Linked DNA regions of Sus scrofa. The protein of the gene in region 5 interacts with the protein of the main gene of each other region in a biochemical or structural test. Links are inferred from orthologs where the notes say so. Each region holds a gene or a part of one and is shown on either strand. Other genes may lie near its edges. The genes, in order: NCF2, EIF2AK2, WASL, PAK1, CDC42, CDC42EP3 and MCF2.

The links.
Region 1: the proteins of CDC42 (region 5) and NCF2 form a complex in vitro, tested with the Homo sapiens proteins (2 studies listed by BioGRID and IntAct). The link is inferred for Sus scrofa from reciprocal best matches to the Homo sapiens genes CDC42 and NCF2.
Region 2: the proteins of CDC42 (region 5) and EIF2AK2 form a complex in vitro, tested with the Homo sapiens proteins (2 studies listed by BioGRID and IntAct). The link is inferred for Sus scrofa from reciprocal best matches to the Homo sapiens genes CDC42 and EIF2AK2.
Region 3: the proteins of CDC42 (region 5) and WASL form a complex in vitro, tested with the Homo sapiens proteins (3 studies listed by BioGRID). The link is inferred for Sus scrofa from reciprocal best matches to the Homo sapiens genes CDC42 and WASL.
Region 4: the proteins of CDC42 (region 5) and PAK1 form a complex in vitro, tested with the Homo sapiens proteins (11 studies listed by BioGRID and IntAct, with this or other methods). The link is inferred for Sus scrofa from reciprocal best matches to the Homo sapiens genes CDC42 and PAK1.
Region 6: the proteins of CDC42 (region 5) and CDC42EP3 form a complex in vitro, tested with the Homo sapiens proteins (2 studies listed by BioGRID). The link is inferred for Sus scrofa from reciprocal best matches to the Homo sapiens genes CDC42 and CDC42EP3.
Region 7: the proteins of CDC42 (region 5) and MCF2 form a complex in vitro, tested with the Homo sapiens proteins (2 studies listed by BioGRID). The link is inferred for Sus scrofa from reciprocal best matches to the Homo sapiens genes CDC42 and MCF2.

Annotation. Positions count from the first base shown.
Region 1 is NC_010451.4:124,810,559-124,814,501, reverse strand, and holds the start of NCF2 (neutrophil cytosol factor 2), read left to right. Parts: upstream 1-1,143; 5' UTR 1,144-1,666; coding exon 1,667-1,832; intron 1,833-3,943. UniProt on the Homo sapiens protein: Subunit of the phagocyte NADPH oxidase complex that mediates the transfer of electrons from cytosolic NADPH to O2 to produce the superoxide anion (O2(-)).
Region 2 is NC_010445.4:103,039,720-103,043,828, reverse strand, and holds the start of EIF2AK2 (interferon-induced, double-stranded RNA-activated protein kinase), read right to left. Parts: upstream 2,801-4,109; 5' UTR 2,475-2,800; intron 1-2,474.
Region 3 is NC_010460.4:23,774,393-23,777,892, reverse strand, and holds part of WASL (neural Wiskott-Aldrich syndrome protein), read right to left. Parts: intron 1,825-3,500; coding exon 1,304-1,824; intron 1-1,303. UniProt on the Homo sapiens protein: Regulates actin polymerization by stimulating the actin-nucleating activity of the Arp2/3 complex. Involved in various processes, such as mitosis and cytokinesis, via its role in the regulation of actin polymerization.
Region 4 is NC_010451.4:11,970,275-11,974,375, forward strand, and holds the start of PAK1 (serine/threonine-protein kinase PAK 1), read right to left. Parts: upstream 2,801-4,101; 5' UTR 2,203-2,800; intron 1-2,202. UniProt on the Homo sapiens protein: Protein kinase involved in intracellular signaling pathways downstream of integrins and receptor-type kinases that plays an important role in cytoskeleton dynamics, in cell adhesion, migration, proliferation, apoptosis, mitosis, and in vesicle-mediated transport processes.
Region 5 is NC_010448.4:80,033,628-80,037,834, reverse strand, and holds the start of CDC42 (cell division control protein 42 homolog), read right to left. Parts: upstream 2,801-4,207; 5' UTR 2,685-2,800; intron 1-2,684. UniProt on the Homo sapiens protein: Plasma membrane-associated small GTPase which cycles between an active GTP-bound and an inactive GDP-bound state. In active state binds to a variety of effector proteins to regulate cellular responses. Involved in epithelial cell polarization processes.
Region 6 is NC_010445.4:102,536,446-102,540,461, forward strand, and holds the start of CDC42EP3 (cdc42 effector protein 3), read left to right. Parts: upstream 1-1,216; 5' UTR 1,217-2,413; exon of another isoform or gene 2,414-3,078; intron 3,079-3,109; exon of another isoform or gene 3,110-3,620; intron 3,621-4,016.
Region 7 is NC_010461.5:114,353,305-114,357,557, forward strand, and holds the start of MCF2 (proto-oncogene DBL), read right to left. Parts: upstream 2,801-4,253; 5' UTR 2,651-2,800; coding exon 2,566-2,650; intron 1-2,565. UniProt on the Homo sapiens protein: Guanine nucleotide exchange factor (GEF) that modulates the Rho family of GTPases. Promotes the conversion of some member of the Rho family GTPase from the GDP-bound to the GTP-bound form. Isoform 1 exhibits no activity toward RHOA, RAC1 or CDC42.

The DNA.
Region 1 (3,943 bases), on a different chromosome or scaffold from region 5:
TTTGTTTAAATTTTAAGTGATTTTGTTTAATAATCTATCTTCTAGAATTCTTTCCAGGGTAAAGCTTTTAGGAAACTAGACTCACACTTACAAACTAGACTCACACTCCAACCTGGCTTTTTAGCGTAGATCCCAGTCTTCGTGGTGAGATCATATTTGCAAAACCTTTCAATTCCTGGGATTTAATGAATCGGGATTTGATAACTGGCATTTCTTTCAAGTAGCTCTCAGCTTCCTCGCCCTCCTCAGTCTGGAGCCTCTGAGTGACTCAGGAACAAAGTAGGAGCGGAGGGGTTCTGCTTTCTCCTCGACATCTGTTGACGTGACGCCATCGCACCCAGCGGTAACCCTCCCCGCTCTTCCCCTGACACTAAGGAGCTCTTTGTGCTGTCCTTAGTAATTTTTGCAGCCTCAGCTCACTCTGGGCTTCAGCTTTCCCTGTACTCTGCGTTTGATCTCTGTCCAGCCTTTGGATTCCTCCTGAGTCAGGCCCCACCTCCTCCATCCTGTGTGTCTGGCCTCCTGAGAGAATCCCCTGGGGGGTCCCATTGCCTCTCCATTTCCTCCATCTCTGAGATCCCTGTGTGCCACGTGCTTGGGTTTTTCTGAGATTCTTCCTTCTCTCTTTAGCAATCTCTGGTTTTAGAGCCTTGGGCCAGGGGCAAACATCTAGTTTTCCTTTTTTGATTAGCCAAGACACTTAAACATTTTTTTTTTACTTTTGTTTTTGTTTTATGTGTGTATGTAGGTAGGTATGTGTGTGTATATGTATGTATGTCCATACCCAGAACATGTGGAATTTTCCAGGCCAGGGATGGAGCCGACGCCACTGCAATGACAATGCCAGGTCCTTAACCCACTGTGCCACAGGGGAACTCCTACAGTGATTTTAAAAGCGTGTAACCACAACATTGTTAGTGAGGCCTGTTTTGAGAGTTTACCATGTGATTGGCACAGAAGGGAAGTGGAAAAATCAGATATAGGTCCTGTACTTCTGGAGCTTACAGTCTCGTTGAGAAACACTTAACCAAGTCATTAGAATCACATGCAGTTGAGAGTCAGCGAGAGGCTGCTCTGAGAGCACGGGGGAGGAATACGTGATCTAGCTGTTGCGTCAGGGAAGAAGAGTGGAACTCTGTAGCTGTGATGGGCAGAAGCCTGAGATGAGCCTTAATCATCTCTGCCCTGTGTACGTTCTTCCCCTCGTGTAGGCAGGAGCTATGACTTGCTTCTCACCCACAGAAGGTGGCAAAGGTGAAGGGACTTTGCAGCAGTAATCAAGATCCCTAAACAGCTGGCTTTGATCGAAAGAGACATTAACCCGGGTGGGCCTGATCTAATCAGTTAGGCTTTAAAAGGAGTCTAGAGGCGTTCCTGCTGTAGCACAATGGGATCGGCAGCACCTTGGGAGAGCTGGCACGCAGGTTTTATCCCTGGCCCAGCACAGCGGGTTGAGGATCCAGCGTTGCCACAGCTGTGGCTTAGGTCGTCATTGTGGCTCAGTTCTGACCTCTGCCTGGAAACTCCCCATGCCACGGGGCGGCCAAAAAAGGAAAAATAATTTTTAAAAAGAGGTCTAGAGATCCGAGACTCAGTGAAGTAGAGACGCTTTCTCCGTCACGGGTCTTAGAGAAGCAAACAACATAAATTCTACAACTGCAAGGACATGAATGCTGCCAACCCACGAGGGAGCTTAGAAGCTGATTCTTCCCCAGTCAAGCCTCTGGATAAGATGCAGTTCAGCCAACACCTTGATCTCAGCCTTGTGAGACCCGGAGCAGAGGACCCAGCTGGGCCATGCCGGGACTTCTGCCCCCAAGAAAACTATGAGAGTAAGTGTGTATTACTGTAAGCCAGGAAGTTAGTGGCAATTTGTGACGCAGCAATAGAAAGCTAATACAATGGTAGCACAGACAGCACTAGCTTACGATGTTTCCTGGAGAAGGAGGACTCAGCCCGGCGGCTTTCCGCTCGCATTGCTGAGTGAGGACACCCAGGTCCAGTTTCCTGCATCCTCCTTGTGAAATCCAGGCTGAGTTTAAATGTAATAACTGGGGTCTCCCTGCCCACCTCCTGAGGGTTTCCTGTCTGGTACTCAATGTAAGTATCCACTGACATGAGAGTTGAGTGCATAGAAAGTATATACTTCCTCCTACTATTAGACGTGTACCTCACTTTAAGCTAATAAGGTGACACTGCCCCATTAAAATGCTATTTATTTTTTTCAAGTAGGGTTCCATTTCCTAATTTTTGGTTCATTTAACCAGTTAGCGAGAGTCTACGGAGCACTTGCCATGTGCTTAGAAAAACACTAACTGTGATGAAAGACAGGCAAATTGAGATTTGTTTCCAGCTTTTAAGGAGCTTTAGAGAGAAGCCTCAGGTGATAGAAAAAGCGGGATGAAACACTAAGCTCTAAAAATGGGGATGAGGAGACACCTGCTGAGCACCAAGGAATAATGAGAATCACAGCGCTGGACAGCACAGCTCCTCCCTCAGAGAAAAAGGAAAGCATGAGAAAGGCTCTTAGGAGTTCCCGTCGTGACTCAGCAGACGTGAGCCTGATTAGGACCTGATTAGACGCAGGTTCCATTTGTGTTAAGGATTGGGCATTGCCGTGAGCTGTGGTGTAAGTCACGGATGTGGCTCAGCTCTGGTGTGGCTGTGGCTGTGGTGTAGGCCGGCAGCTACAGCTCTGATGCAACCTCTAGCCTGGAAACCTTCATATGCCAAGGCTGCAGCTCTAAAAAGACTTAAAAAAAAAAAAGGAATGCTCTTAGCTTCCAGCTGAATGAACGAATGCACACAACAGGAACTTGTGATCTGTTACCAAAGCAACGTAAATCTTGCTTGTACAGGATTTTGAAATAATTTTGAAGACACCGAGCTGAAACTTTTATCCAGCCAATGTCTTAAAATTTATTCAATAAGTAATGTTTTCTGAATAGCTATTATATCAAATGCTGTGCCAGGAATCAAGAATACAGTGGTGTATCTGAGAATTTTTTGTTTGTTTATTTTAGGGCTAAACCCATGGCATATGGAGGTGTCCAGGCTAGGGGTCGAATCAGAGCTGTAGCTGCTGACCTACACCACAGCTCACAGCAACGCCAGATCCTTAACCCACTGAGCAAGGCCAGGGATTGAACCTGCATCCTCATGGATGCTAGTCAGATTTGTTTCTGCTGAGCTACTATGGGAACTCCCAATCTGTGAGAATGTTTTAAATGATAAATGACAGAAAACATTATTCAAGTGGCTTAAAGAATAAACAGGTTTCTTATCTCACCCCAAAGTAAATCCTGAGTAGGTCAGCTCCAAGATAGCTGATTGAGGAGCTTACTAACCTAATTACGGACCCAGGTTCTTCGTGGTTTTTCATTCTCTCTCCTTAAAACAATGGTTTGTTCTTAGCGGTCTCTCATGGTCACAAGATAGCTGCCACTATTCCAGGCACATCTTCGTAGTACAGTCTAGGGGAGAAACAAGGGAAGTTTCTTCCCTTGTTTTTGTTTTTTTTTTATTTTTTATTTTTTTTTATTTTTTATTTTTTTTTTTGTCTTTTTGGGCCGCTCCCGCGGCATATGGAGGTTCCCAGGCTAGGGGTCGAATTGGAGCTGTAGCCACCAGCCTACACCAGAGCCACAGCAACGTGGGATCCGAGCCGCGTCTGCAACCTACACCACAGCTCACGGCAACGCCGGATCATTAACCCACTGAGCAAGGGCAGGGACCGAACCCGCAACCTCATGGTTCCTAGTCGGATTCGTTAACCACTGCGCCACGACGGGAACTCCTGTTTTTTTTTTTTAATCATCAGTAAGAAAAAAAATCTTTCCCAGAAATCCTCAGCAGACTTCTCCTGACATCTTATTATTAACTAGAATTCTCTCTCATGTCTGTGTCAAACCAGTCCAACCGCCACACCCTGAGGGAGTGTCAG
Region 2 (4,109 bases), on a different chromosome or scaffold from region 5:
GAGGAAACCCTAAGGCGGGCACCATGATGGCTTCTGGAGAGATAGCAAAAAGGCCAAGGAGACTGCTGCACAGTGAACAAGGGGAGCAAGTGGGAAGTGAGTCAGAGAGGGAGGCAGGTGCCACAGCACACAGACCATGAATGAACTGTGGATGTTATTCCACTTGTAATGGGAAGCTGAGGGTTCTCAGCACAGGGGTGATGTGATTGGATTTATGTCTTTAATGATCAATCTGATGCTATGCAGAGAACAGAGCATGGGGGCAGTTGTGGAAAAAACAAGCAGAGCATGAGTAGAGGTCAGGAGACTAAGTCGAGGCTGCTGCAGTGGTTTAGGGGAGCAATGCTGGTGGCTGGAAGGGCTTAGATCTGAGCAAAGGCACCATCTTTGCAACACCACTTAGTGTTATAGAGAGAGCTAGGCTGTCAAGCCACATAGATCTGAGATAGGCACCTTTCTTAACCTTTAATTTGTGACCAGAAAAGAGGAATGAAAACACCTGATTCACAGGTTGTTGTGAAGAGTCAATCAGACAAAAAGCATCCAGCAGGGTCTCCCACAGCAATGCCCCTCAGTGAGTGGTGCTCCTGGCCTACAATCCCCAATTCCAAAAAGCACTGAAAACTGAGGTTTACTTTATTTTCATTTGATTTGGTTTCGGTCAGTGTGTAGCCCCCCATCTAGACCTGAACTAACATGAGTTATTTAGAGTCTTTACCACACTTTGTTGTCTGCAGACAACATTTATACATTTCACTGCAGAAATGTTTTATGATAGACTGCTGCTCCACTCTAAGAGCATTAAATTACTTACTAGTTTTTAAAAAATCCATAAGTCCCTGAGTACCAGGACATACCTGACCTAAGGGTTTCAGATAAGGATCTGCAGCTGTGTCATTATTTTTAGGAACCAAAGTGTCATTTAGTTTAGTCACAACCATGAGACCATGCATCCAATTGCAGGAGGCCATAGATCTCAGAACACCAGTTATGGAAGAGTCCTTAGCAATTATTTAAACCAAAGTTCCATGGAATGCCCTAAATCCACAGAACTTTTACCTCTACATAACTGCTGATGTTCAAAATGACAAGCCAGTTTGAATTTAAGCAAAACATAGGTGTAAACCAATAAGGTGCTCAATTGGCCTGTTTGAAATAAGTACTTATGAGTTTGGAAAAAAAGAAACAGCAGGTTTCCTTTCAACTACATCTCATTTGAATATATGTTACCATTTTCCTAAAAGAAAATTCCATCATAATCACTAAAAATGTTATGTGTCCATCTTACTCTTGCCCAAAAGTTACTTTGCCTGTGCCTTGATTCCCTTACGGCAGACTGTGAACACTTACGGGTCAAGCCCCCTCCAGGGTCTGAACACTGCTTGACAAACAACATTCAACTAGTACCTGATGAATTAAATGAATAAACTACACATCCAGTGTTACGGATCTTCAGGTTCAAATACGGAAAGAGAAGAACAAGGGCATAAACTGCTCAAGATTCTAAGTTCCTAAGGGACAGCAGGGAGTCTCTTAACTTCTGATTGGCGGGTCTCATACTCTGGAACTCAAAAGAGAATGTATTAACTACCACTCATTAAATAAAGACATAAGGAATATCTATTATGTACTAGGTTATACTAGTGAACAAAACCCTACTCTTGTGAACTTACTAGTGGAGGCATATGGACAAACCCAATAAAAAGTGTCACAGGATGATAAGTACTATATTGAAAACCAAGGCAGAATAAGGGGGACAGCAAGGGAAGAGTGGGGCTTCTTTCACATGCAGGTTGTTCCTGGAAGGCTGCTCTGATAAAGTGATATTGGAGGAAGTGAGAATAACACGAAGGACTGGTCCACACAGGTATCTGGAAGAAGAACCTTCCAAGAAGACACAGGCAGTGCAAAGGCCTAGAGGCAGCAGATAGTGCTGAGCTGTGCTCCAGGAACATCAAAAAGGCCTGCGTGGTCAAGAATGGAAGGAGCACTAAAAAACACTGTGTGGGATTCTGATGAGATGGGAAGCTACTGGGGAGCAGAAAGGGGTTGTCTTGTTCGGACGTGAAGTCAGGTTCCCGTGGTGTTGAGAGGCGGTGCGGGGGTGGGGGTGGGAATGGAGTTGGAGCTGGGGGGGGGGGGCTAAAGATGGGCTTTTGGGAAACAGTTGCGACAGTCCAGGCAAAAGACTTTTGGTCAGGGATTATTTAGCCAATTTTTTGGGCAATTCAGGCCTCCGTATCTCCCATCTGTTGTCTCTCAAGGATGGGGCTTTTTCGTTTTCCACTGGTTGTCCCTGCCCCCAGCCTGCGTCTGGGCAAGTGATTACTTGCTCTGCTAAAAAGATCTTCGCGGGAGATGAATGGCTTTGGTTCCCACCGCGCTGCATAGTCCCTCCCCAAATTCAGCAAACGCCCCACCTAAGGCCTCGGACAGCGCTCCCAATGCAGCGGCTCAGGGGTCAGGGGTCTTACCAGGGTCCAGTCCCAGGCTGGGGATGCAGGATGGCGAGCGCCCTTGTGGCTCCTGGTTGTCGGCCCCTCGCCACTCACCCGCGCTGCTGCAGTCTGTGAAGCCTGGTGGGATCTGGGCCGCTCACTCTCAGTTTCGTTTTCCCCGCGGACTCCGCCTTCTTCCCCCGCCGCACGGGCCCCTCCCGCACCAGTCAGCACTTGTCCGCGCAGGCTCCGGGATCGCGCGCCACTGGCGCCTGCACCCGGAGTTCCCGCGGGCGGCAGTGCGGAGCCTGCTGGGCACCCGCCGGCCGCTGCTGCGCGGTAGAGCGCGTCCGGGTCCCTGCGGCCTGACCTGGTCTTCTCATGCTGCTTCCGGCCCCCGTGGCGGGATCAGTCCGCCGGGATGTGGGGAGGACCTTGAGGTCTCCGAGGCCCACTGCGTGGCGGGCGCTCCCTGAACTGGGCTCTTCAACGCAACATTTGGGACGGCGTTGCGGGGAAGGATGTCATCAGCTCCATTTTACATTAGAAACTGAGCAAATTAACTGTCCCAGAACAAAGCAGGATTCTATTACTCTTAACCACCAAAGCACCCTGCCTCTTCCTCACATTCACCAGGCTGGGAATGAAGAGGTCTGCTGGCATAATCTCCCTTCAGTCTGTTTCCAGCCATCCATCCATTCATTCAACGATACTTGCCAGCCTTTGTACCAGCCAGTCCATCAGTTAGAGCCACTTGCTCCCCGCGCAACCTCCTGGAGGTTTCGACCAAAGTTCTTACCAGAAATCCCAGATTTGTAAAAAAAAAAAAAAAAAAAAAAAAACCTACTCACCTAATGGACTATGACACCTTCCCAAAGTAATACTGGTGCCTCGACCAAATGACTGAGGAGTGCTGAGGACTTACCTCACAACAGTTCTGCAAGGTAGGTCCATTATTATGCCCATTTAACAGATGAGAAAACAGGCCTGAGGCACAGAGAAGTAACAACTAGTAAGCTGAGGAGCCAGAATTAGAACCAAGAGTCTGTACCTCAGCATCCTAGCTAGGGTGAGTAAGAGAGGTGGTCCCAAGGTGGACTTCAGGTACACATTACCTATTGGCCATTGACTCCAGGAGTCCTTTCCCACTTCTCTTTTCTACCCCCTGTATGACAGGATATCAATGGCTAAACACTGCATTTTCCTTGATTTAAGTTCCCCCAATGTGGCACACTGATGGGAGTTTGGAAGGCAGGTAGGAGGCAGAGCCATCTTTCTGTGCCCTTTGAGGTCGCAAAAAGCTCTAGCTTTAGTGGCTCTTTGAAGGAGTCCACTTACCAGCTTCGTGGGTGTGGGGTGACTGTGACAGCCACAATGGCAGTAGCAATGACAAGTTTTCTGACTTTTTGAAGCCTCTGAACTGTCCAAGAGCTTAAGGAAAGAAAATGACAAGCTCAAGCATGGTCAGAGGCCACAAATTTTTATGGTTGAGGGGAAAATCTTCTTACTTCTTGTAAGCCTCAGGGCTGATAGAGCAAAAATCAGGTGCAGAGTCTAATACTACAGGGTAGCAGAAATACTATATAAATTTTTGTTGTTGTTCTTTTAAAGCTTTATTGAACTGTAGTTGAGTTGTAATGTTGTGATAATTTCTCCTGTACAACAAAGTGA
Region 3 (3,500 bases), on a different chromosome or scaffold from region 5:
ACACAGGACCCAGCATAGATTCTTTGGTAAAAGCTCATTAAAATCTACTATTTACCTGGGCTGTGGTCATTTTGACACTAATTCTCCCCTCTAGCAACTATTCAAAGTTCTTTAACTGCTCCTGAGAAATCTTTAGTCTCAACTAAATGGGAAGAGGGAGGAGAGGTGTCTGTTCACAGGCTGATCCAAGAATCAACCTGAATACACGTTAAAATTTACCATCCATAAGTTGTCTGAAGCCCTGCAGAGTAAATGTTCTGCCTGGAACAGAGAGACTACACATAAAGACCCAGAGGAAGCATGTCTTTGTTAGGCAGGTTAGGTTCTAGGTCAGGGATCAGGAAATTACTGCTCATGGACCAAGTCTAGCCTGACCCCTGATTCTGTAAAATTTTTTAAAAGCCAAGAATGATTTTTACATTTTTAAATGGTAGAAAGAAAATAAAAAGACGAATATTTGTGATATGTGCAAATTATATGAAATTCAAATTTCAATGTCCATAAATAAAGCTTTATACAACGCAATCATGCCCATTTATGTGCTGTCTATGGCTTCTCTCACGGTACGTATGTCTATAGCTGCTACTTTTGTGGTACTAGGCTGAGTTAAGTAGTTTTAACAGAGACCATACAGCCTGCAAGCTTAAAATGTTTACTATGTGGTCCTTTAAAGAAAAAAGTTTGCCAACCTTTGCTCCAGAAGATTAAATGATCACCTCATCCAATTCGGAGAACCCAAAATTATCTGCCATCACTACAGAAACCCTTATTACAACTCTTTCAGTTTTTTGTGGAGTCTGATTCTCCACGAATCTAAATTTCAGAACATGTAAACTTTAAAATATGGTTTAGTTTTCAGAAGTTAATGGAATGAATTTACAAAAATGATTATAATTGGATTCAACAGGGCTAAGTTTACTTCTGTACAGTTTAATAAAGATTTTTCTTTAAGTTTTATTTAAAAGTCTAGAACGATGAACTGCAAACACAGAGCAACATTTTTTAATATGAAGTTCTAAAATAGGCAAACTAAACTTATGGTGATAGAAATCAGAATCAGTGATTCTTTTGGGAAGAGACAGGCATGAGGGAACTTTCTGGGGTGATACTGTATAGGTATAAATTTGTGCATTTTATGAATATCAGAAATTCACAGGGTCAAAAAAACAAATACCACGAGAAAAAGTAAAAAAACAAAAGAATAGCAACCAAAAAAACCCAACCCCTTTTCAAAGAGGTCTTAAAATTACATTAAAATTCCATCATGACAGGTAATCTAAACTGAAAAGAACAGATTACTTACAGATTTCAGCTGAATACCCTGTCGTATCTGGTCTAAAAGTGCATCCCTTCCAGAGCAGGACACCGGTCGACTGTTCTGTTCCACTTTTTTAAGCTGAGCACCCTCTCTAATTTGATCTAAAAGAGCTGCTTTGCTTCCAGCAGGAGTTGGAACTTGATGGTCACCATCAGAAGGGAGGCCGGGGGGAGGTGGTGGCCCCGGTGGAGGTGGAGGTGGAGGAGGTGGGGGTGGTGCCGCTGACCCGGCCACCGACAGAGGTGGAGGTGGTGGTGGAGGCCCTGACGGTGCTGAAGAGGGAAGGGCTGGAGGTGGAGGAGGGTACATCCTATTTGGCGGAGGTGGAGGGACTCCTACGCCTGGCCTGGACGGAGGCGGCGGTGGCGGGGCAGCTGTGGGAGCTCTTGAAGGTGGCGGAGGAGGAGCCCCTCTTCCCCTGGCAGGAGGGGGAGGAGGGCCTGAGCTATGTGGAGGGGGGGGAGGAGGAGGCGGCCCTCCCCTTGATGGTGGTGGAGGTGGCGGTGCTGAAATAAAAACAGAAAAAAAGAAACCATGCTTTTTTCCCCCACAAACATCATACTGAAAAAGCAACTCACTTCAACATGTATTTAAAAAAAAAAAAAACAAAAAACCAGTATGAGAAAAAAGGCTTCATCTTTGTATTTATTTTACAAAGATATGTGAGCACTGATGATATCTCACAACTCTATTTGGGAATACTCAGCCTAAAGAACACCTTCCTGGTCTTTCTTGAAAAAAAATAATAGCTAAAATAGTACAAGTGAGTTTTTAGTAATCAGCATTACTTCTCAAGGTAAGGGAACAAAGAAATTTTTATATAATAATAACAAAAATATAACAATGAAATTAAACATTTTGATCAATAACTGTTATTTTACATTTTAATAAAAATTAATGGAATCTTCTCTCTTTAAAGAATCAAGTATATTTGTTTTATAAAATTAATTTCTATTCAGAATTAAACAGCTAATGCAGCATAGTTTATTGGAATTTATTCCACTTAATGTGAGTTAAACCCAAATACTTTTTCTTTTAAAAAATAAGCCTTTGTAACCTAACTTGCATAATTTATGTCCTATATTTTCTGTATGTATAGAATATATAACAACATATAATATATATGTAATAAATACATAATATATAATAAACATTGTACGATATTAATAAAAGATGGTCAGCAATTCTAGTGATGGCATTAAGGCCCAGCTGAAGGCATTAAGGCTAACTACTTACTTAGGAGACATTAACAAATCAACTGAGATTTCTAAGTACTGCAAAATTAAAGTTATTAATAAAATATTAACATTACTCTGATATATACATTCTTATTCTACTTAGGTGAAAATGTAAGATAAAAGTAGGAGAACAAATCCAAAGTACAAATTTTCTATGTTTTTAGAGGCATGATTTTGCCAAGAGGATTCACAAACTTGTATAATAATGAACATCATTATTTCTCCACTCATTTAAAGAGTGAATAGAAAAATTAACTATTTTTAGGAATAAAGAAATCCTAAAATCCATAACAGCTATTTGTATTTTCTGAGAAACTGTAATATTATTGATGAATTTTCTACAGTCTATACAAATACAAATACCCACCTTGATTTCAAGTAACAATAGGCTTAGATGCTCAATGATGCAATGATACCAAAGAGGAAAAAAACAGCCCTCAGTTCAAAGTAAATCAAACAGTATCTTTTGATTTCATCTGGGACAATCATGGGAAATATGCCATAAAAATATGCTATCAAATATAGTTATAAACATTTAGACATAATATGCAGAAGGGCCAATACTCATAAGGGTATTGTCTCCTGGCATACAAACTTTTAAAACTGGAAATAATACATAGCTGCAAACAGGAGTGTCATCCTACCTGGATCAGACCATTACTGAAGGAAGCTCCTAATATTTACACTCAAGGCATATTGGAGGTCTGGGTGTTGGAGCTAAGGTTCACTCAATTTTCTCACCAAATCCAAAGCAAGAAAACTTAAAGTTGCTAAAAGCAAAGTCCTTTTCAAACACATTTTGTAATAATAGGGTAAAACCAAGAGGATATGACATATGTATAATATGTGTACTCTCTGAATAAGACAGTACATCAAATTCTTTCAGCAGATACAAGAACTTCATTTTTAATCAATTTAAGGAGTTCCCATCGTGGCTCAGTGAT
Region 4 (4,101 bases), on a different chromosome or scaffold from region 5:
ACCAGGAACTTCAGTAGACATTGAAACTAAACTGATCCTGCCCTCAAGAAATTCACAGATTAATGGAAAAGACAGGCACAAACTTAGACATTTGCAATAGAGTGCTATAGGGACCTATAAGAGTGGTCTGTACATGAGCCATGGAATAGAGAAGAGCAACTCTACTACGGAGATAATAGAAGGAGAAACTAAGGGACTGCTTCCCAGAGGTCCAACAAGTGCTTCTCCACAGGCAGGTAGAAGGTGGCATTCCAGGCAAAAAGAACAACACATGCAAAAGCAGAGATGAGAAGAGGGGGGCAGAGGGTTATAGAAAATGAGCCTCTGCAAAGGTAGGCAGTACTCTAACCTCCAAGAGGTTCCTACTCATATCAGAGTTTAAAATTTTTCTTTAGCAAATGACCAGTTGAGGGTGGGGAGAAATGATTGGTTTTTGTTTTACAAAGATCTCTCTGGATATACAGTGCCCTCCTTGTAGAAAGCACTCCTTCCTCCAAACCTAACACAGAACCTCATAACATGTGCTGAGTAAGTGTATACTGAATTAAACTGAACAAGCTCTTTGTCAAGTGTTATCTTATGGATGAGAGGCAGGTCACCACCTTCCCCGCAGGTCTCACTTTGGCCAGGACAAGACCTGTAAAACAGGTCCAGCAGCCTCAATTATTGCACACTGCTCCCTGTACAACTGGAGCCCCCAGAGAGGACGGAAGGCCTTCACTGTTTACATGGCTACCTCACCCACTAGACTTTGAGCTCTGTGAAGACAGGGAATATCTTAATAGATTCAAAATCCCCACAGCCCTAGCAGGAAACTTGAAACAGTAGCTCTTCAGATCCCAGCAATGTTGGGTAAATCAATGACTAAATAGGCAAATTTCCCAGACAGACCCAAGAGCTCACAAAAGTTAAGGACATGGATAAGCTTCAGGGAATGTTTCGGGGTCCATGATTCCAAAACCCTTTTTGAGAAGTATAGTTTCTAGTTGAGGAGAGACTGATTTCATTCGCACCTGATTCAGGATTTACCAAATGTGAACAAAAAAAGTGCTGTGGTAGAAATCCAAGCAGGCCTCTGAGGGGCCCAAAGAGAAAGTTTTGCCTGAGAGGAGTATGGGGGTGGTGCCAGCAAAGACTTCTAATGGGGGTAATTCTTCCGCAGACTCCTGAAAGCTAAGTAGGTGGTGGATACCCGCCTGCTTCGAGGGCACAAAAACAAGTTCCTGGAACGGTAAGACTGGAAGTGACCTGCTCAAGGTCACACAGGAAGTAGGTGAAGTCACAAGTTAAGACCAATGAGGCATGTGTCTACTGTTGACTCCTTTTTCTCCTGACCAAGTCGAGAGAGAGCCCAAAGACACCGGAGGCAAAATTACACATTTTCTCAGAAACAACTCTTAAAGGCTAAACTAGTGAATTTGAAATGTTTATTGGTACCAGGGTACCAACTCTTGCCTTCACCTTTCACTGTTCCGGGGGCGGGGGGGTGGGAGGAGAAAGTGTAAGACAGTTATCCAAAGGGCTTAACAAACAACAAGCACTTGGCTCTCCACACTTCCAAACACCCAGAACGTCTCCAGTGTTCTTCCAAAACACCCCAGCAATGTCTGCTGTGAAACTACTCCAGACAGTAAAGGATATAATAGCGCCTATTGAAATGGAATAATCAACATGAAACAGCCACAATTCTCCTTTCCCAGTTTGTTTTTAACGCCACAAGTGAGCGTCTTCCCGGGGTGGGGGAGGGGCCGCGTGAGTCAAACACCATCCAGTATTTTTCAAGGAGTTGAACCCTAGACGTGATCCCCCGCCCCCCTGGCCTGGACCGGGGTGATTTCTTTCGTGCACAATGAATCTGACGCTGCCTTGCTAGGCTCCCCGTCGGGGGGCCGCAAAGTTCGGGAGGGAGTCCCGGACCCAGACCAGCGGTCCCGACCCCTCCCCGCCTCGGCCCGCCGCCGGGTCCCTCAGCTCCCCCCCCCCGGCGTCTGAGACCTGCGGCCGCCCGGGTGAGCGCACGGGGAGCCTTTGTTGGTCCGACAGCGGCGGCCAGCCTCGAGGGGCGACGCCCCCGCCTCGCCTCACCTGGCGCCCCCCGCCCGCCCAGCCCTGCAGCCGGAATGAATGGGCCCCACGCCCCGCGACGCCCCCGCCCCCGCACCGCGCGACGCCAAGGGTACCGCGCGGGAGGCCGGCTCTCACCTTCCGCGCTTAGCTTCGGCTCCACTCGGTTCCTCCTCCTTTTCCACGCCGGCGGCGGCGGCGGCGGCCGAGCGGGGGAGCGAGCGCGCGAGTGTGTGCGAGGGGCCGCTTCACTTTCCCCCTCCCGCCGCCTCAGCCGCCGCCGCCGCGCACTCGGCGCCTCCCCGCCTCGCTGGTGCCGGGGAGTCCGCTCCGGACCGGGCGGGGGCGGGGGTGGTCAGCGACCCGGGGGTGAGGTGGGGGAGGGAGGGAGCCCGGCGACGCCGCTGAGGAGGTGCGGCTCCGGCCGCTGGAGAGGCGAGGGGCTCGACTGGCCTCCGGGGGAGGAGGTGGGGAGACAGAGGGTTCTTTGAGGGGCTCCGCAAAAGAGGGGGTAAGAGTCTGAGAGAAAGCGTCTGTCGAGTAGGACGGCGGAGCTGCTGAGGGAGGCGGCGGGGAGGCGCGACGGACGGGCGGAGGGGGAGGGGGCTGTGGGGGGAAACCGTGAGGGGGCGTCTGCGGTGCTACCGACACCTGGGTCTCCAGCTGAAGCCCCGGCCCGGGCCCCCGCCTCGGCCTCCGCCGAGCTATTGTACGCCGCCGGGCCGGGCGGACCGCCTCGCCCACCGGCCCCCCGCCCCCTCCCCCGCGAGGCCGAGGCTCCGGCCCAGCCAGGCCCGCCCAGCCTCCTGCAGGTGGGAGGGGGCGGGGAGGACTGGACCGACCCACGTGAGCGAAGCCAACCCAGGCCTGGGGGAGGGCCAGCGCCTGGAATGACGTCATTGGCGCGTGACGCCAGAGGCTGGGGAATCACCCGCTGCCGCATGACGTCATTGCGCCCCCGTCTCTCCTCGAGTGCTATCGCTCGCTACAGCTGCAGGCTCCTTTAAGGCGGGCTTTCCCCAGGATGTTTGTGGGAGGTGTTAAGGGGCGACAGTGGTGGAATCGGGGTCGAAAAAGACAGCCAATCCCATAGGATTGTGGTCCTCTTGGTTATAAAGCACCACTGCATCTGCTAGCTTGTTGCCAAGCGCTGAGTTTGGAAGCTACCCCATATCCTGTGACCTCAGAACTGGACATTTAATACACTGTTGGCTTTCTTGGAGGAGGGGCAAAGAAATGTTAATGGAGGTTTCAACTATTGTGCTCTGGTAGAAAAGAATGGGCAGCTTTTCGCGCCTTCCTACACCAACGGAGGTCGCATTCTACGCAAACCTTTTCCCTGAGTTCAGATTCTGCGTTTCCTAATGAAATGTTTGCACTGTACCTCAAATTCCCCATGTCCAAAACTGAAACAACGTTAGTGACTAAGGGTTTGGAATTAAGTTGCCTTGCTTCAGATTCCAGCTGTACAGATGTTGGTGATAGGATCTTAACATTTCTAAGCCACAGTTTCTCCTTAAGTTGTACCTGTGTATGGGTAACTTGATCTGAGTCACCGTTTTATAATAATAGTAAGTGCAATTTAGCACCATTAAGCCCTTTGGAATGTAGACTGTTCCTACTACAATATTCCCCAAAACTTGTGACTCATGTTACTTTCTGGTCTTGGTGAATGGACCACCATTCAGCAGTACACTAAGCCAGAAACCCCCATTCTTCTTTCTCAACGCTCATCAAATTTGTCACCGAGTCCTGTAGAGTCTCCTAAATATTTCCCAAGATCTCGCCCTTCTCTTCACTCACTGCCATCACCTAGACAACTAGAGCGGCTTTCAGTCTTCCAGATTCAACCGTACTTACCAGTGACCAGAGTAACCTTTTAAAACGACAAATCTGACGAAAGCCTTCCCTCTTTAAATACTCTCAAAGGGTTTTGTGCTTCACAATAAAATCCACATTCTTAATGTGGCACTGCACAACCTTGGTGCTTACACCAGCCTTTCTAGCCTCATCTTACGTGGTATCTTTTGTTCCAGC
Region 5 (4,207 bases):
TTCATTCTAAATGTAATAGTTTGCATCTACTAAACCCCAACTCCCAGTCCATCCCACTCCCTCCCCCTTGGCAACCACAAGTCTGTTCTCCATGTCTATGAGTCTGTTTCTGGTCTAGGTTCATCTGTGCCATATTTTAGATTCCACATATAAGTGATATCATATGGTATTTGTCTTTCTCTTAGAATGAATTTTTTTAATATAGAATATATAGATCTACCTATGGAACAAAAGTTAACAAAATATTAACACCTTCTTTCCCTTCAAAGCCCTGTAGCCTGAAATGTTCATTAAGCATTCCTTGTCCTCTCAAAAACAATAAATGCACTTAAAATGTATTTAAAAATAAAAGTATAGTTTGACTTCTACTTCCAAGAATGTCTGTAAATACTACTTTCAGACAGGCACAGCAAACTGTAATTCAAAGTTTTCCAAATGCAACCTCTTAGATCAAAATATTTTATTAGTATAACTATTTTAAAAACAACCAGAAATGCTTCTCTAATAAACCGTAAGTGGAAAAAGTACCCGAATTTAAAAAAAAAAAAAAAAAAAAAAAAACTTGAAGTCACAAAAAAGTCAAGATGTGGGCTTGGTGGGCTTTAAGAATCTCGCTGATATTTAAGCTAGGCTGTAACACCTGCCTCAGATTCCCAAAAATTTAAATTTAACTGAGTACAGATGTTGTTATTATGTGAAAACATTTTAAGAACGTGCTATCTTTTGGGTCTTGGAAGAAATTACTGAGGAAGAGCTCATTTTTAATACACAGTTAATTACCAGTCTCTTATCACCTTGCCTCAATCTAAAAAAATTAAGACTCAAGAAATATGGCAGCAGGTAAGTGTTCCATTTTTATCTTCTTAAAAAGATACATTATGGCAAATAAATATATTTTAGAAGATCCAAGCTCCACACCTATCCAATCATCTACCAACACCTACACACTACAGAAAGCTGATGTAAACCTACCACTTTTAAGTGTTTCTTAACAAGCAATCTGTTCTCTCTATACAAACGAGAAACAATAGGAAAGCGCTTGTTCCAACATGAACTATCTTTACAACAATGCATTACACAACTGGATCTCATTTGCTTTACAATGCTAACATTTTTCTGTATTACACTACCCTGCAGTCAATGAAGGATATACAATTTAGGATGTACCTAACATTCTGTGATCCCAAGTCTGAAAATATTACTCACTTAAGTTTATTTGGTTAAAAATCCAAAACATTTTTAATTACAAAATTAAACTGACTACCAAGCAAAGATTAAGCGTAAATAGAACTGATTCTCTTTTCACACACCCTTACCACAAAAAGTGCACATGAGTTGACTTAGGTACATATTCCGAATCGGTAATTCATATGGGAGAAGTTAAACAGTCTGTGAATTGCATCTTAGACCAAAGAAATGCTTCCACAAATAAATTCATCTCATTCGGGTACAGTCAAAGGGATCTTTAAAGTTACTGCCTACGCAAGCGGCTGCAGAAGGTGTTGTCTTACGTTTTATTCTCTGGCACAAGTTGATCCGGAGATTTTAAACCCTCCTGGCTTTCAGATGCATATGAGACGGCCAGGATTTCAAAAGATCATCTCTGATGCGTTGGGAAACAGGTTGGCTAGGCCAATGGGTGACCCAACCAAGGCTACAAAATGCTGTCTTAATTTAGTGAGTCCCTGACTTGTAGGAGTTAAAAACTCTCACCCCTTATATTGCGATGACGTAATCTTCCACACTGCATTTCTCTGGGATTAAAGGGGAGGAAAAACACAAACGAACAAAGAAATTTTCCCCCTAATGAGAGGAACTGGGCAAAAGGCTGAACGACAGTTTCGGGAGGTGGTTAGGTAACTCCCTGAAAGGGAAGCTTCAGCTGAAAACGCAGGGAGAGAGTTGGAGAAGCAAACGGAAACGGCATCAGGAACTCGACCTAAGGCAGGAATAAAGGAGACCGGAGAAGCGGCGACCAGGCCCACCCAGTGGGACCAGGCGTCCAGCTGCGGGACCGCGGAGGGAGGCGCGTCGCAGGCAAACCCGGGGCGGTCAGCTAGCCGCCCGCTCCCGGCCGCCACTTCCCGGCCGCGCTCGCAATCCGCTCCCCTCCCCCCCGCCCGCCGCAAAATGTCTGCGGCCGCGCCGGGCGAAGCAGGAAGTCGAGGCCGGGGCGCGGGGGCAGACCCGGCCTGGGAGCCCGGGCCACCGCCACCCCGGGCAGCCCGGGCGCCCGCGAGCGTCTCCGCAGCTCCCGGCGCCCGGGCCCGCCGTCCGCCTCAGGGGTCCGCAGGGCCGGGGGGAGGGGAGCCGGGCGGCCGGGATGGGTGTGACCCCTTCCTTCCGCCGCTGCCGGGTGACAGCACGGCCGCGCCCTCGGCCCGGCACCCCACAGCAGGGCCGCACACCTCTCGGCCGACGTGCGCCCCCCGCCTTGCCCGCCGCGACTTCCTCGCCTCCGTCCTCGGACAGAACCCGGACCCGCGTTCGCCCGAACGGCGCTGCGCGAGCCGGGCACCCCCCCCCCCCCCACACACACACACACTCCACGCCCCGCGCTCCCAAGCTTCCCAGGAACCCAGACGCGGGGCGTCCCCGTGGACTGGGAAAGGCCGGGCGCGGCGCAGCGGAAACGGGACGGTGGGGAACCCGCTCCCGCGGGGAGCCTAGGACCCCGCACTCACCTCAGCTCCTCAGCCGGGGCGTTGGCAGCAATGCGCGGGGTCTCCTCAGCTGCGGACAGGGGCACGCGCCTGACGTCAGCACGCAGACGACGCAGCGTTGGGAGCCCGCGGAAGTGGGAGGGATCCGAGGCGAAAAGAGGCCGAGCTGTTCCGGGCGGGGCTTGAATTCATCCGCTCCCCAGGTTCAGGCAGCCTAGCGCGCACGCGCCAGGCGGTCCTGCTTGCTCTTTCGTGTGTTGCGCTTGTAACTGTTTCTCCAGTGGCTGTCATATATTTGTAATAATGCTATAAATGGTCGTTTGCAAAGCACCACAACTAACATTTCTTTTGATCTTTGCACTTTTGCAAAGTATCATCATCCTGATTTTGCAAAGAAGACAGCGGCTACTCGAAAAGGGGCATGACTTGTGACCACAATGCAAGTGGATGGCCCTCTGACTCCCCCGGCCCGTATGGCTTGAGAGCTGAGTGCTCGCTTCACTGCTTCCACCCTACTGTCTCTCGTTCCAGCGACATCCGTCATCAATTGGTTTAGAGACTTCCTCCCCACAACAAGGCCTCAGATTCACAATTTCCCCTGGCTGCCTCCTCTTCACCAGTCCTTCCGTTGGCCCTCTGCCTTCAAATGTCACTGCCTTCCTGATCATCCTATCCTCACAGCACCTGTTTGTCATCCGTCTTCCTTGCCAGTGTGCACACTTCAGAATAGGAGCCTTCTCGGTCTTTTCTCAGATGGTGCCTAGTGTTAGAGGAAAATAGCTTATCTTAAATAATAGTTCTTTATTTTTTTCTTTTTAGGGCTGCACCCCTGGCCTATGGAGGTTCCTAGGCTAGGGGTCAAATTGAAGCTGTAGCTGCTGGCCTACACCACAGCCATAGCAACCCGGGATCCAAGCCTTGTCTGCAACTTACACCACAGCTTAAGGCAACGCCAGATCCTTAGCCCACTGAGCAAGGCCAGGGATAGAACCTGCATCCTCATGGATGGATACTACTCAGATTAGTTTCCTCTGAGCTACGAGGGGAACTACAATAATTCATTTATTGATGACTGCCACAGTTATTTGGCCAAGAAAGACATCTATTTACAATATTTTTAATAGTCATATTTCCCTTCGGACTTTTTTTTTATTGTTTCGAATGTTTCATTTTATTTTATTTTATTTTTTGGTCTTTTTTTTTTTTTTTTTGCCATTTTTTGGGCCGCTCCCACCGCATGTGGAGGTTCCCAGGCTAGGGATCTAATTGGAGCTGTAACCGCCAGCCTACACCAGAGCCACAGCAACGCAGGATCCGAGCGGCATCTGCGACCTATACCACAGCTCACGGCAACGCCGGATCCTTAACCCACTGAGCAAGGCCAGGGATCGAACCCACAACCTCGTGGTTCCTAGTCAGATTCGTTAACCACTGAGCCACAACGGGAACTCCTGGACTTTTTTAATTACACAAGAACTACGTTTTAGAGTGATTACTATAGGTATGATGCTAACATACTATAGGTATGATGCTAACAAATTTGC
Region 6 (4,016 bases), on a different chromosome or scaffold from region 5:
CTAAAAAAATTAAAAAAAAAAAAAGGCTGAATGTGAAAAAGTTTGTGTAATTCTCTCTGTGTGTTTTTATAACAAGAATGTTCATAAGGCCCATGAGATTTTTAAATGAGTCTGTTATTTAAGACTGAAAACCACTCCTCTTGACCAATGCTTCTCACACATCAAATGTACACAAGAACAATCTATATTTCATTGGAATGAAGATTCCAACTCAGTAGCTCTGGAGAGAGGCTTGGCGCTGCTGGTTCCAGGACGATACTTAATGGCAAGAGGCTAGAATATTTTAGTCTGCACTTGTTTGCATACACTGGCTTGTTGCTCTCTACCTCCTAAATAGATTGCAGGTTTCTACTGACACTTCTTGGCTCTTCTCTCACAGTCAGGACTAATAGAAAAATAGCCCACCATCAGGCCTGATAGATGCTTGCTCTACACATATGAGTGCATTAATTGAACCTAATTAAGATATCTTCTCTAGGTACACTTTCTTCGTCTTAGGCCCCTAAGGTTTTTACTGACTTTTCAAGGTGATAAACTTTTCTGTAACCCAGAGTAGAATCTCAGAACCTCTAAAATCTTCCTAAAGCAAAACTTTTCTCTCTCTTCCACAGTGAAATCAAAATCTAGCAAAACTAAAAGCAATTATAGTACAGGAAACACCCTTGTTTGGAAGGATAATCCACTATATAGGGGCACTCTCCCTCCCTGGAGATGTTCCATACCAAGAAGATGTTCGGTGCAAATAAATAACATGAACATCAAACAGGCATGGATAAATCAAATCGGCACCACTAGGCCCCTGAAGGAGTAGGTTTTGGATAAACTGTTTACAGCCCAGAAGTGAAGTCTCATAAAGAAAGGACAGAGAGGGAAAGTCTCTAGAAGTTGAGGAATGGTATAGAAAAGTGAAAATGGAGTTTGAGAATAAAATTGCTACCTCAAACAACTTGCCCCTCTTATGTTTGCACAAGCTGTAAAATAAGTAACTCAGTTATATGGAAGTAAAGTCTCTAACAGCAGCTAACAACAGAGCAAATGAAAAAAAAATTTCACACAAAAGACATGCATAAAGAATGTCTGTGTGCAAAAGGAATTTTTCATGTGGTATTTAATAAATATATATGCATACTATTTGTACTTATAAAAACACCATGTGCAATTAAAGCTATGCATAAATATTTATAAAAATACTTTCATCTAAGTAAGCCAGTAACATTTAATATTTTTCAATAAATTCATACATAAAATACATACATTACTGCCAAATGGAACATATATTTTGAAATATGAACCCCTGGTAAAACACTCAGGAATCTGGAGTAAAATTCAGGTATCTGCCAAAGGAAACTTCGGAGTAGTTGTCATTTGAAGAAAGGAAACAATGCTGGGTCTCTTATCTTCACCGACTGTTTTGCTTGTCAGATTTCTAACATCACTTCAGCTGAGTTTTGTATTTGACTTCCAACTTCATGGCCATTTGACCTGCCAACTATTATTTTCTTTTAACACTCCACCCAAGTATGTTGCTTTCCAGAACGGTTGTGTCCGTTTCCTTTTCACTTCACCTTAACATCAGCCGAGGGTTACAACGAAGACTTAATGTGCACCCTCTAAGGTTTCAGATTAACCCAGGGGCATTATGGTGACGACCTGATGCTGATATCGCTCTGGAAAGTCAAGGTTCTCCTGGAGGATCGCTCTTTGTGCCAGGATTTCCATTCAACCTGAGAATCCCGGGGCTGGGGCCAGGCTGCGAGTGCTTCACTCTCGCAGGTTCCAGCCCCCACCCCCAGGCCGAACGTGCGGGCTGGGACCTTACCGCCGGAAAACGCCGCCCTTTCCTGTCGCCTACTCATTCCCCAGGCCGAGAACTCAAGGACGAAGAGACGGAGACGGATTAAGAAAATTAACCAGGTCGACGCTTGGCCTCGAGGGAAGCAAGGCGGGGCGCGCAGCGGCGGTGGCTGGAATGACCGGCGGGCGCAGGTGCTGCCCAGGGCGGAATTTTACGCTCCTGGGCCGGCAGCTGCGGTACTTGCGCTCGTCTAGAGCAACCGCCACCCGCTTCCAGCTTTAGCCAAGTCTCTTTGAGGCACCCCGCAGGAGAGGAAACGCCTCCCGGTGGACTGGAAAAACCTGCAACATCGGCTGTTCGCGTGCCCACTTGCTCAGCCGGCACCCCCGGGCGTCTCTTGTGCGCCAAATCCACTCTCCGGGTTTTGGCGACATCTCCAAGGGGTTTGGGCTGGAAACTGACAGAAGCCCCCCCCCCCGCAAACTGGAGCTGAGACTGGCCCGGGGACCCAAGGCTCGGCCGGCGCGGCGCCGTCAGGTGGCCTCTCTTCCCCAAGAGTCCGCCGCCCGCCAAGCCGGAGCCTTGCTGGGCTGGATCGACTCGTTGGGAGGAGGAGAGGTGGGTGTACGAGGTTTAGTACAGGTGTCCGGGGTGCAGGCAGAGTCCCTTTGTCCTCTGGCACCCAGCAGCCAGTGCCTCTTTGAACTGGGCGTCCCTGCGACCTTCCTTTGTGCCAAGGGAGCGGAACACATCTTCTCGGAGAAAAGCCCCACCCCTGGAGGTGGCGCTGGGGCGGTAACAATAAGCGCCCATTGTCCGCCAGGGGCTTTCAAGCCCGGCAGCTGGCGACCGGGGTCTACCCGCCCGGGGCCGGAGCTCAGGTACTAAGGCAGGGTGGTGCGGCCAGCGACCCACGGCCTGCGCCCCGCCCCGGCCCGCCCCCTGCGCCGCCGGCCCCGCCCCGGCCCGCCCCGCCCTTCGCAGGTTCAGCCCTGGCGTCCGGCTGCAGTGCTTTCAGTATAGCTCGCACCTTCCCTCTCTCTCCACGGTGGCTGCTAACGGCGGGTTGCGCAGCGGAGGGGCCCGAGCTGGGGGCAAGCCGGGAGTCCCCGGCCTTGGGCGCCTTCACGCAATCTCAGAGCGGATAATGCTGTGAACTGGCGCCGCGCCCGCCGACCCGGCTGGATCTGCGCGTGGCGGGCAGGGACTGCGTGCGCCCTCGGAAAGTGTCGGTGCCGGGCGCCTGGCCCCGGGGCCAGCGGCTGGGATCCTTGGCGCCGCTGGTGAGTTGCCGTCTGCCCACAGCTCCTTTTCTGCGCGTCTGTGAGTTCGTCCGACCCGCGGCCGTGGCCGCTTCCGGCGTGCGCGGGGTCTAGGCTTGGAAACGCACGGGGAACGGTTATACCGAGGGCATCACCTTCCAGCTGGTGTCCTGAGGACCAAAGGCTGTATAAAGCAAACTGAGAGGGGTGCGGGCGGCACGACCAAGACGCAGAGCGCCACCGTTTGTGCCCACCACTTTTCAGGGTGGGGCTGCGCGGCTACACTGCCCCCTCTGAGCCATTGACAGCCATTCTGGGCGCTTATTGCATTTTTCCATCTGAGAACAAGCCGCACATGGCTGCCGCTCCCCTCCCATCGTGGACTGGCACCAGGGCCACACAAGGGTGCACCGCGCAGAACTGGGATGGCAGTACCCGCTGGGCGTGTGTCTCTTCTCTTGATGGGGGGCATTGTGGCAGGGGCTCCAACCTGCAGATCTGGCAGTTGCTTTTTTTTTTTTTTTTTTTAACGGTGGTTTCTGAACAGCTGGATTGTTTTCAAGGTTTGCCTTTTGTTTTGTTTTTCCCTTTTTCCTTGAAACTGCCTTGATACAGACAAGTATTAGACGTGTGAGGACGAATGGATGAGGCCAGTAATTTTTTCATTGTGAATTATTATAGTCCATCCCCCTCTCGACTTCGGGAGGCATGTGTTTCATCTTATAAATAGAAAGTAGCATATTTTTTGGCAGGACCTCCTTTATACTGTACAGTCTAGGAGAGGTCAGTTTAAAAATAAATATGCACTTGAATGTTACGTTACCGAGAGCCAGGCTGTGGCTGGGACAAGCTGCGTGGACAGCAGCATCAAAGCCGGGAACGCAGCTGTGTTAAAAGGAGTAAAAGCCCCAGAGTGCAACCCAGGCTGACAGTCAAGTAATTACATTTTGTTAAAAAAA
Region 7 (4,253 bases), on a different chromosome or scaffold from region 5:
CCAAAACTAAACCCCAAATTTCCTCTTCCTCCTCCCTTCCCTGCTATATCCCAACCTCTCTTCCCATCCCGCCATCCCATCCAGAAACCCGGAATTAACCTAGTCTCCTGCGCTGTCCTTCAAACCTCGAAATCAAGTCAAATCAATTCTACCCTCTCATTTCCTCAAGCTTCTCCCCTTCTCCCCATTCCCAGAACTGACTTAGTTCGTGTCTTGGCCCACGCCTGCCCAGCTTGCTACAACTGCTCTCTAACTGGCCCCCTTATTCCCGGTCTTCTTCCTCTCTGCGGCACACTCCACACACTGTGTCCTTCACACAGCCACCAGATGGCATTTCCCAAAGCAAGACGCTCCACTGTGCAATGCTGCTGTCAACCACGGTGCACAATGTGCCTGATACAACCCTAGCAAGGGCGTCGTTCACAGTTCACAGTTTTGCAGTGCACAACCTAGACAACGGTACATAGCGGCCTTGGTTACAACACTCTGGTGGCTCCTCCTGGCCCTACAAAGTAAAGCCCTCTAATATGCCTTACAAAGGGCCTGACCCAGCCTCTGTCTACCTCCCCAAAGTGATCTCTCTCCTGTATTTTCCACACTTTACATTCTAATCATTAAAGAAAGAAAGAAAAAGTTTCCCAAACATGTGATGCCATCCCCTTTCTCCTTGTTTTTGCGCATCTTATTTCCTTTGCCTGATTACCCCTCCCCACCACCCTCCATCCCTAGCCCCAGTCCACCTGGAAATGCATGCGCATCCTTGAAGATTCAAGTCACACATCACCTTCTCCCTGAAGTCTGCCCTTAGCTAGGGCCCTAAGTAGAGTTGCTCATCCTCGCTGCCCACGGCAGATGCTGCACAAGCAGGTGCAGTTAGCTTATTACAATGTAGCATGTCCTATAGGGAGCAGTGTCTAAACGGTCATTACCGAAACGATCTCAGAAAGTTCTGCACCACAGTGAAAAGCCTTGTACACATATTTCTTAAACAGATGAACCTTTTTTAGATACATGAAATCCTTTTTACACATAAAACTATCCCACTAGGGTGCGTGCCCTAACATCCTAAGCACAGACCACTTTCAGGCCACTCCGGCGGTCCTCCAGACCGTGCAGCTAAAAATGCTAAAAGGCAGAACAGTCCTGCAAGCTTGCTTAAAAATGGAACGCTGCACCCGGTGTCATTTGGCTGCTGTGCTGGGTCATAATGCTGAGGCGACAGGGGCCTGCCAACATGCAGGAGCCTTCAAAGGTATGGAAGCTGACACACCCGCACAACTTAGAGAAAGACAAGAAATCACTGGCGGTAGAAATGTGAACGCAGAGTGCGTAGCCTACCTAACAAGTTCCGTGCTAAAGCAGACATTTCTTGTCTGGAGCTTTACGTTTGTTTTGTTTTTGTTTTGAACTCTCAGGAAGATGCAGGAGCAAACACAAGACGCAGAGCCCTTGCCACACCCCCCTGAGCTGCACACGTTCCGACGAGCGAGGCGGCCGCAGCATCCCAGGGCCTTTCAAATGCTCAACACCTGAAGGAGCGTGCGCTGCGCCAGCCCACGCCCCTTCACGACGGATTACACCTGGAAACCAATCGCGCCCACCTTCAACCCCAAACGGGCAAGACCCGAACATCCAGACAGGCCGCAGCGGTGACACGCTGCGTTCTAAGCACAGGCACGGCAATGCCGGTACCTCGAAAACGCGTCTGAAAACCCCAGAGCTGCACCCTGTTCTCGGGTGGCTCCTGAGCCCCGGTCTGCATGGTCCCCTAGGGAGCTGTCTCCTCGGAGCCCAGAGCCTGCTGCACCAACCCCAAAGCTCTGCACCTCCCGCGAGGCAAACGTGTGCGCATCACCGCGGGCAAGTGACCGAGTCCACAGTACCCCGCGCACACCCCTCAACCAAACCACGGCAGTAGCAGTAAAGGACGTGTGGGTTTGTCGGCTCTTTTTGTTTGTCCCGAGAGACAACCCCAAACTTCTGCCTTTGGGGTTAGGACCCCAGGAGGCAGGAAACTCCTGGGCCCAGCTGGCAAGACACACCCGTCCTGGTGAAAAGTCCAAGCCGGCGGAGGCGCGGTTTCTCTACAACTTCTCCGACTGCAGTGCGGAGAGTCTCCGAACCCCAGCGCCTTTGGGGACTCGGTTTCCCCAAACGTCTCAACCCCACCCCACCCCCGCTTTTCCAGCCTGCGGGGAAGATTACGAGGGACGTGCACCCTCGGGAGGCCGGCTTCTGGTGGGCGGGATGCGGGCTTGGAAGACACCGTCTAGTGCCACCTCTGGCGACGCACCGAGGCGGGTGAGGAGGACAGCGGGGACCCGAAGCAGCCACGGCGGAGACGTCCTCACACCCCCTCCCGGACTTTCCCACAGTCCCCCCGCAGCGCGGCCCGCGGCCGGAGGGACAACTGGCGGGCGGGCTGGCCGTCGCGCTCGCGGCCCGAGGGCAGGCGAAGCGTGCTGGGCGGCCGGGCGCCTGGGGATGGAGCGCGGGAGGCGAGGGGCGCGCGAGCCTGGCGGGAGGCAGAGGCCAGCGGGCGGCGAGCGCCAGGAGGGAACTTACCTGCGACGAAGACCGCCTGCAGCAGGCAGAGGTAGCTCTTGCCGTACTTTTCGGAAATCCGCACGCGCTGCAGGGCCATGGCCATGTCCACCTGCAGAGGGATGGCCTGGGTGGTCGGCACCAACGCGCAGCCGTCCGGGTCCTGGGGAAGGCCCGGCGTCCTGCCGTCCGCCTCAGGGGTCCGCGGCTGCGGGGCCCCGGGCGCGTGCCGGGCGGCCGAGCCCAGGTGGGGCCGGGAGCCCGCCGCCGCCATCGTCTAGCGGGAGGCCGGGCCGGGCCCGCCCCCCCGGCCCGCCGCCGCCGCCGCCGCCGCCGAACTCCTCCCCGCGTCCGGCCCGGCGCCGCCGGGGGGTTCTGCCGCCCGCCCGCCCGCTCAGCCCGGCCGCGCCCGGAGGCCGGAGGGCGCGGGGCGCCCGGAGCCCGGGAACTTGCTCGGAGTCCGGGGCTCCGGCGGGGCGTTTCTGGCCCCGGCAGCCGCGAGGGCAACTCCCCCAGGGTGTGCACACACGCCCCCGCTTAGCTTCCCGGAGGCCCGGAGGCGGGGAGGTGGAGGAGGGACTCGGGCAGCCTAAAGGGAGAACCCCTGCAGAGACGCCCATTGTCAGCGGAGGGAAGGCCGGCCCCGGAGCGCACACGTGGTGGGAGGGGACGGCCCGGCCTCGCACTCCCATGGCAACTCGTGCTGGGCTCGGCGCTTCCCTGGCATCCAGCGAGCGCTGGCCGAGGCCGAGATTGGCCGCGCGCGGGAGCCAGGACGCTAGCCAGTGGCCCTGCGGGACTGCCGTTCTAGAAAGGGCTCAGGAACGCAGAGAGCGCGGGAAAATGGAAAGGCAAGGGGAGGCGACCCCTTCGAGAAGCCAAGTGGGAAAGGAGAGGAGCCAGAGCTCTTGCCTTGCCCCAGAGCCCCCAGGGATGGGGCCCGATGAAAGATGGGGCTCCGAAGTGTCTGGAAGGAAAGGAGTGAGCAGGCCCGGCAGGAGTGCTGCCCAGGAAGCGGCCACCTGAGGACAGGCCTGGGGACGTCCGCATAAAAAGTGCAAGTCTGGGAGTTCCCTTGTGGCGCCGCAGGTTACGGATCCCACGTTCTCACTGCAGCGTCTTGGGCCACTGCAGTGGTGCAGCTTTGATGGCTGGCCTGGAAACTTCCACAGGCCCCAGGGCGTGGCAAAAACAAAAACAAACCCTGCACGTCTGAAACCAAGTCAGTGCTATCGGGAGAGATTCGCCAGGATTTTGCTGCAATGCTTGCAGCCTTTAGCAGAGCTGCGAGTGCCACTTCTTTCTTTAATCCTCAGCCTTTTCAAAGTTTTCTAGTAAGACAGTGTTCAGATGTTACATAGGCCAGTCGTTCCACGTTGATCTTTCGACCGCTCTATGGAGAATCACTCATCTATACCTCCCGAGAGCCGGTGCAGGCAAGTGTAAAAGGCAAAAGTAAGCAGAGGAAGAAAACACATACATACACACTCACACACACCCCCCCTCCTCCTCCTCTAGCCAGTTCAAGCTCTGTCTGAATGGGTCCACAGACAGAATGTTTTCCAGCCCCCCTCTTGAATATGTGAAGAGGAGAAACAGCTTGCAACTGTTCCCGCATATGACATTAAGAATTCCACCGATGTTCTTTTCCAACTTAATAAATAACTGTACGTTGAAAAAGTAGCAGTCTATAAAAGTAGTAGACGACT